Solanum lycopersicum: one gene and its partner. The protein of the gene in region 2 interacts with the protein of the main gene of each other region in a pairwise test. Links are inferred from orthologs where the notes say so. Each region holds a gene or a part of one and is shown on either strand. Other genes may lie near its edges.

What was found.
Region 1: the proteins of 187-kDa microtubule-associated protein AIR9 (region 2) and kinesin-like protein KIN-14E interact in binary tests that used the Arabidopsis thaliana proteins (3 or more experiments, as listed by UniProt). The link is inferred for Solanum lycopersicum from reciprocal best matches to the Arabidopsis thaliana genes AIR9 and ZWI.

Annotation. Positions count from the first base shown.
Region 1 is NC_090801.1:54,456,607-54,461,042, reverse strand, and holds the start of kinesin-like protein KIN-14E, read left to right. Parts: upstream 1-1,614; 5' UTR 1,615-1,916; exon of another isoform or gene 1,917-1,938; intron 1,939-2,396; 5' UTR 2,397-2,489; coding exon 2,490-2,635; intron 2,636-2,777; coding exon 2,778-2,850; intron 2,851-3,018; coding exon 3,019-3,150; intron 3,151-3,235; coding exon 3,236-3,474; intron 3,475-3,592; coding exon 3,593-3,920; intron 3,921-4,436. UniProt on the Arabidopsis thaliana protein: Minus-end microtubule-dependent motor protein involved in the regulation of cell division and trichome morphogenesis through microtubules bundling. Possesses basal and microtubule-stimulated ATPase activities.
Region 2 is NC_090801.1:56,226,400-56,230,688, reverse strand, and holds the start of 187-kDa microtubule-associated protein AIR9, read right to left. Parts: upstream 2,991-4,289; 5' UTR 2,715-2,990; intron 2,112-2,714; 5' UTR 2,084-2,111; coding exon 1,181-2,083; intron 1-1,180. UniProt on the Arabidopsis thaliana protein: Microtubule-associated protein that may be involved in the maturation of cell plates and proper insertion of cross-walls after cytokinesis.

The DNA of each region.
Region 1 (4,436 bases), about 1.8 Mb from region 2:
AGGACTTAAAACATACGATACTAATTTGGACAAAGTTAATTTAATAAGGCGTTAAGTAAAACCCAAGATCTTTTTGAGATGATTTTCAAATGTTTCGTAAAAATAAACTAATCATATAGAGATTTACAAAAAAACAACTCCAATTACAACTTACCAAACAATAATTTAGTAAAACGTTAAGTAAAATTAAAATTTTGGCGAAGATTCTCGAATGTATATAAAAATAAAAATCAACTAATTATATAAAACACATATAAAAAAATTGTATCACTTAAAAATATTGAAAATCGGTTAAAGTTACTTTAAAACGATTCGAAAAACATTTAGAATTTTATAAAGTTAACTATTTCAAGCTTGTTTGAAATTCAAGAAACCTGTGAATTAATTTCTATCGGGGAGGGTCAAAATTAAGTGTAAACAGTTGACGACAACAACAAAAAGAAAAAAAAACTGACTTTTGGCAAGCAATAATATTTTGCAGTAGATTTGGAGTGTAAATAATACTTGATATAATAAGAAGAAAACCATTGTATAAAGAAAGAAGTTGAGAATAAAAGGTCTCCCATTGCACTTAGCCAATTACATAATTATCTATTCTCCAAAAATACATGTAGAGCTTTACTCAAAACAAATCACAAATATAATAAATTAAAAAGTATAGTTAGGACCTCAATTATTGAACTCATAAAACTTAAATTCTAAATCGAAGACCTCTATTCACGATAGAATGACTTCTAGATCTTGGATAAATGACGTCATTAACGTCCGATTCGTTAAAATCACAAGGCTTGTTTTCATCAATTCTTCCTAATCTTCCTACCCCAGTGCTATAACTTCTCCAAGTAGATTGATTCTTCAACTCTGTGCTCTTGGGTAGTTGTTGAGGTTTTCTATGAGAAATTGTACATGACATGACACTTCCCCCTTGACCAACTTGTTGAGCACAATCAAACATTGTTTTCATGTAGAATTCTCTAGCTTTGCCTAACACCTTAAATGGTGCCACAATATATTTGACTAATTTTTTCGTGGTTTTAGTTCCCATTTTTACACTCCCAAAATGATGAATTGTGTAGAATTTGTAATATATTTGTAGCTAATCTTGAATTAGACGGCAAAAGACGGTTTCAAATATTAAAAGTATTATTTTAACCGCTTCATGAGAGTAATGACACACATATTATGCCAAAGAGTAGGAGACAAATTGTCACACCGAACACACGTCTACCTTCTTTTAATTGTTCTACCAATGTTTTTAAGATGTGGCAATGGAAAAAAAAACTTGTTGACAAACAGTTGCACAAGAGCATGTCGTTAGTGCTCACGGTGGCGGATCTAGGATTGGATTATAAGTTTCTCTTTAGTAAATTGAAGTAATTAAAAATATTATTAATAAGAGTTGTGATGAAGTGATAAAGTAACTTTTTCATTTTTATGAATGTAAAGTCATCTTTGTTAGGAAATGATTTACCCTAAAATGAGACTTCTCGATGTGAATTTAAATTTAGTGGGACTCTAATATTGTTACCGAATACCTGATGAAAGCAAAACAAAAGTAATTAAAAATATTAATAATTATATTTAAATTATCAAAATAAACCTATCCTATTTTCCTTTTATATTTTGTCACCCAAAAAAAGAGGTATGAAATTGAAATTATTTAAAAAACTCTCGTGACCTTCACACCATCTTCTTTCTCCCTCCTTCACTCCACCATTAACATCTCTTTCTCTCTCTGGTACCGATCTTTCTTCTAAGTAAAGCTCCATTTTCAGCAGAAATTCAAAATGGGTTTCATCATATCCTCTTCGTATTCTCATATATTCTGAGATTTCCTATTTCTAATTTCTGAGCTTATGAACACCATTTTTGCTTAGCTACACGAAGCCCCAAAACAAGAGAACACAAACCCAGAGGTTTTTAGGCGTTTTATTATGAGTTACACCTCATACCATGCTGTTTTGTTAAATGGGGTTTTGCGTTTTTTCTGTTTTGTTACTGTGGTTTCTCGATCTACTGCACTGGGTTACGACTTATTGTCTTTTTTACCAATGTGAACTACCAAGTTCGAATTTTTAAAGTATTTTATACTGTTCTGTGCTTGTGGGTACATGGATCTTGGTGGGTAATTTCTTTGGTGCTTGATTAGTAGAAAACATTGCTGGTAATTAGGGAGCTTGCTAAGTTATCTGATTTTCATGAGTTTTCTGTGAGCTTTGTAGCATATCGTGCAATGTTGATCGTATTTTTGTGATTCTGTTTGGATTTTTAGTGTTGATTTTGGTTTGGGACTTCTGTTGACTATTTGTTGAAATTGGCTTCTTCTTTAATGCGGGGGTTATATGTTTTTGGACTTCTTTGATTTTTAGTAATCATGGTGTTACTAAATTGGTTAGGTAACTGCTGAAGTTATTGAAGATTACCGTTTAATTGAGGAGTTGGATGGTCTTTTTGAGAGCTGTATAGAGCGGAGATTATAATTTTGGAAAATGACTTCTGATATGCCACCAGTTAGTATGAGGTCAAGCAGGTCATCTTTTGGCTCAAGCAATGGATATGAAACACCTTCACACTATTCCTTTCCAACCTCAAATGGGGATGATTATGATAGTGATGGTTCTAATTTCGCTCCACCGTAAGCTTTCTTTGACCATTAGATTTACTTCTTTGATCTTATTTCATACTTTGATGAAAATGGGTGGTGTTATCTAATGCTATATCTCCTACCTTACAATTTATTGTTACCAACTGCTTTTTTGCGTTTATGTAATGTGCAGCACTCCGAACACCCTCTCATCAGTCCTGTCACCTGAACTTGCTGGTGCAATACCATATATTGACAGATTCCAGGTAAGAGATGACTTTGCAGAAAAAGAGAATCATTTCAGTCTGTATGCACACAACAAAGATTGGAGTGGCTTTTTTTCTTTTCTGAATTTTGTTAAGAACGACATGGTGGATCTCAATTATGCTTTGCTGCTACTTCAGAGAGGTAATATAGATTCTTTGTGGTTATAGGTTGAAGGTTTCTTGAAGGCTATGCAAAAACAGATTCATTCTGCTAGCAAACGTGGGTTCTTCCTGAAAAAATCTGTTGGGCCGCAAGTTCGAGAAAAATTTACATTTGAGGATATGCTATGTTTTCAAAGGGTGAGATTAAGCTATTTAGCTCTTTACACTTTTGAAAATGTATCTCTCGACACTTGCAGACTAAAAACAACTTGCATCTTGACAGGAACCCATTCCAACATCAATTTTGAAAATAAATGGTGATCTCATTAGCAGGGCAGTTAAATTATTTCAGTCTATTCTGAAGTATATGGGTATTGATTCCTATGATAGAGTGGCTCCAATTAGCTTTGATGAACGGATTGAACTCGTTGGCAAGCTATTTAAGCAGGCCCTGAAGCGATCTGAGCTTCGAGATGAAATGTTTGCACAAATTTCAAAACAAACAAGGAATAATCCAGAGAGGTACTTTGACCATCAAGTATATTGATTGAGAAATGGGAAGCTGATATTCACTTCTTTCTGTTTATTCTGTTGCTTTTAACTTGACAGTGTTCCTCACATGCTTGTTTCATACATATAGGCATTCTTTGATTAAAGCATGGGAGCTGATGTACTTGTGCGCATCTTGCATGCCTCCGAGCAAGGAAATTGGTGGATACTTGTCAGAATATATTCATACTGTAGCACATGGGACTAATACTGATTCCGAAGTTCAAGTTTTTGCTATAAATACTCTAAATGCACTGAAACGTTCGATTAAGGCTGGACCTAGGCACACGATTCCTGGTCGTGAGGAGATCGAAGCTCATTTAACTGGGAAAAAGCTTACTACAATAGTGTTTTTCTTGGATGAAACCTTCGAGGAAATTACCTATGACATGGCAACCACCGTTGCTGATGCTATTGAGGTATTGTTGAATTTCCATATAGTTTATATACAACAAACTTTTTTTCATAAATTAGATGCTAATGTTTGAGTTATACAAACAAGAAATACACATGGGATTTATAATTTGGTAGAACAAAACATAATTTAGGATATCCTTGTTTTTATTTTCCACTTATCTATCCAAGAGCTAATGGCATGTTTGACTCAGTATGAACTTAACATGAAAGTTGGAAAATCTCTAATTTATATGTGGACTATGTTGGGCTTATTAGTTTTTCTTTGGTATTCAGGTTTTTTAATGATAATGAGAAAAGTTGCATGGTAAAAAGTAGGATAACTGTAATTCTTGGTTATTTTATATATGACATATCTTTCCTTCGTTCATGAAAGTGAACACTGCTCTGAAGATACTATAAGAGGGAGGCGACAATGTGTGCAGGAGGGAGTAAGATAATGCTGCATCTCCAAATGTTTTCTTGAATGAAACATCCTTGTAAAATGATTCTCATAAAAATATATATCCTTGAAAAATAAA
Region 2 (4,289 bases):
TTAGTAAATCTGCAAAATATGCTCGTGTATTATGAAGAATACTTACCAGCATAAAATTCTCGCAATGATAGCTAGTTCAACTAAAACATAAACTATTAACAAAGATCCAAATAACTTCTCTTTTGAACATACAAAGTGTTCTTGCATATATTTTATTTTCCGAAATCACAATATATACTTGCATGAATATATTGTTTACTTAACCTATACGGTGACAGTGATGTTGACTTTGTATTGCTAGGTATTTTGATAGGCAGAGAAATGTCATCAATAGATAGACTGAGCAGCATTTTTCTATCAACAAGAAAATAAACATCACATTTGAGAGCATTTAACTAAATAAACAGTCCAAGTTTACAGCTGATCAAACAAATAGATCATGTACTACTTGCCACAAGGGAAGAGACCCACAATCATAAAAGTTAATAGAAGACAATCAAGGAAAACCTTCTCTCCTTGGAAAAAAAAAAGGTATCAGATGAACTTATTGTATGTTTAGAAGCTTTTAGGTGAGTGGTATAATTCAAAGCAAAAGAAATTCAATATATACTCCATCAAAAGCAATTGAAAATAGAGTGCACTTGTGTATGTGCTTTAAAGCTTTTCCTTTAAAACATATAACTCAAAAGCATATTTAGCATCAAAAATCATATTCTATTTATATTGATAGGTAGAAGAGCCAGTCAATATAGATAAGTGGAATTTGTGAGCCAAAGTTTTGTAATAGCTAAATAGAGATGGAGGTTTGGGATTCTTTAGATAAAGCATGTGATATGAAGATTAGTAAATGCATGGGAAGCCACTGCACAAGGATCTTTTTTTAATAAGGTCCACCCACAGCCCAAGGTTCTAAAAATGGAATACAGATGTATGCCTCACCATTGGCATTAAAACCATCGATTTGATGCTTGAGAACTGAGTAGCTCTCAATTTAAGCACTTTCAATAATATTGTTTCATGCTTGTCATAACCCTTACCTTAAATGCTTTGCTTTAAACCTATGAGGTTTGTTCTTAAAGAACACCTTAGAAGAAAAAGTTACTAGCGGAGCAGCTTATATGAAAAGGTAATTTATCCACCTTCAGGAGAGGTAAAATGAACTATTGTTTTCACTCATCTTCAATTTAACACCAACTAAATTAAATTTTGCAACATGAAGAAATGAGACATAAGTTATTACCACATCATCGCCAGCTTTGATTTCCACTTGAGGAAGCATGATAAGGCGTGAATCCCGACCTTCAGGAGTCCCCCCTTTCTTCCTGCTTAATGAACTACTGCTTCTGTTGAACGATTTTGTCAATGAACCAGCCTTCGTGGAAACAGAAGGTGACTGAGCAGCTGGAGAAGACAACTTCGTGGAGAACTTTCTAGTTGAGCCACTACTAGCAGTACTCTCTAACGATGTAGACGCACTCCTCCTTGCAGAGGATAGTGATGGCGATGATAATTTAGCTGAGGTCTTCTTAACAGATTCTTCTTTGCTTGCATCAGAACTAACTGATGCTCTTGGAGTCTTTGCAAGGGGTGAAAGGGGAACTGATCTTCTGATCTCTGAAATACTTGATCGAGTAGTAGTTCTGGTACTGGTTGATGGCAATGTGCTTTTCCGCATTTCGGGAAGCGATCGCCGCATAGGATCTGTTGCCAAAGAGTTGGTCTTTTTAGCTGTACCTGAAGCAACACTGCCACTAGCTCGTTTAGTTACTGCTATTGGCTGCTTGTCAGGCAATCCGCCAGTGCTACTCCTTCTAGTGACTGGAGTTGTTCCTGAAATTCGTGAAGTGCTACTAACAGTCGATTTTGTCAGAGATGACTTGACACCTCTGAGAGTAAAATCAGTGCCATCTGGTATTCCAGTTCGCTTCTTCACAGTCCCAGCATTTGTTGCCCCATTTTGAGTTGTTAAACTTGGTCTCACTGTCCTTGATTTTTTCACACTCTCTGCTGATGATTGCTTTAGTGACTCTGAACTTTGTGGATGTTCAACCAAATCCTGCAGCGGAGATGGCTTCTCTATTATCTCTGGACTTTGGTTCTCCTCCACTGAGTCTTCATTGGATTTTAAAACTGAGTCATCCATTTGCAACCAATTCTTCAAGAACAATTATCTGTCCAATTAAAATTGTCAAGATCAAAACAAATAAAGCAAGCTAAATTAGCACAGAAGACGTCATCTTTGTGGAAAAGAGAAGTACTGGCAAAGCACTATGCAGAGCAGCACCGACATTCAAAGAAAGCACAGTAAAAATTATAGAATCAAAAAGTCTCAATTCTCTAATCTAACACAAAAGTGCTGTTCTTTAGCTGAAATTCAAGCACTTTCTGTCACATTCCCTTAAAACCCAGCCGTAAATCACTACTCAGAACAGAGAAACAAAAAAGGCAAGAATGCAGCTTTTCAGCCTAAAATTCAAGAACTTCTTTTCCAATTTCCAGAACAATTCAGCAAAACCCCACCACTGAAATGAACCAAACAGCAGCTTCTTTGCAGCTAAAATTCACAACAAACCAAAAAAAAAATAAAATAAAAAAAAACCAATAATGCAGCTTCATTTAACCAAATAGCACCTTTTCCCATACTCCAAAACAACCCCACTCAAAAATACAAGAAAGTCAAGAATGCAGCTTCATTAGAGCAAAAAAAAATCAGAAACTTTTTCCACCATTCCAACACCACAAGACCAAGAAAACAGTTGGGTTTCCACACGCACCTAGTTAAAGCCTAGATCTGGTGAAGAAGATAGCAAAAAAGAAGTTCAACAACTACCTAAACCATTTTTGTTCCTTTTTCTTTAGGGTTTTTGGTGCAAGAAGACGAAAAAGGCGCTATAGTAGTAGTATAGAATCCATATGGGAGTTTTCGAAGCGTGAGAAAAAGCGAGGTAAAGTGGGAGAGAGAGTGGGAGAGTAAATGTAACTGAAGCTGATAAGGAGAGAGAGAACCAATGAGAATGGTGACAGGTGAGAAATATATGGAACGGGAAAAAGACATAACAATTACATACATTATTATATATATCAATGAGAATTGTTTTCTTCCTTAAATCCGCAACCATTGTCTGCACGCAGGTGACCGAGCATGTAATGCCGGGGGAACATTCAAATTTTTACATTATCCATTTTCTAGAACTTAGTTTATTCTCGAAGTAGACAAAGATCGACTATTCATTGATCTTCGATCATCGTACTTTCTTGACTAGAGTCATATTATATTCATTTGTTCTCTAAATTTATCATAGTCAATTTTTTACACTTTTTCATTAGAATATATTACGTGTTTGATCTCTTTATATGTTTAAATCATATTAGTCTCTTAATTTTCGATACATAAGTTAAACTTTATGAACTATGAATTACATAATGCCAAGGGAACATTCAAGTTTTTACATTGTCCATTTTGTAGAACATGTTTATTCTCAAGTAGGCAAAGATCGACTATCCATTGATCTTCGACCTTCCTGCTCTCCTGAATAAAGTCATATTATATTCGTTTGTTCTCTAACTTATCATAGTCAATTTCTCGCATTTTCTCATTGGAATATACTATGTGTTTATCTCTTTATATGTCTAAATCATATCAGTCTCTTAATTTTCGATATATACATTAAACTATTAAACTTTATGAACTATAAATTTCATAATACATAAATTAATAATTGTAGTGTTATTCATTCTACCTGCAATTCATGTTGAAAGTTTGGTATATTGGCCTAAAATTGGAATATATGATACATACAAATGTGTATATGATTTTAAATTGAATGATCCATGGTTCAATTATAACTTTCTAAATGCCTAAGTGCATAACAAAATTGATTTTGAATAAAGGACAATTTTATCATTTGAATAGTTTGTCTATGTATCTAATCATATTCTTATGCTACATTGGATGTGAAATAAAATAATAGAGTACAATAATTCTTGTATTAAATACTCCTTGTGCAAATAATACTAAATTTGAAATGATAATTAAAAAAAGGTGTAAAAAATAAATCTCCCTAATACTTGCAACCTCAATTGTGTCCTAAAGATCAAATTAAGATTTTTTCATGTCTAGTTTTAATTTGCAATAGAAGGTAAAATGGCAATTAAGGGCAAGTAAACAAACATACATCAAAATATATGACTAGATCGTGCATAATTATATACCTTAGGCAATTTCTAGTTTTCTACGTAATTTTGTGTACGAAATAAATATCATTTAAATTTTATACACATTTCTGCCTTTAACAGATTAAAGATCTTTCTATATGTAGCAATGTTTTATAGCAAGTTCAAAGATTAAA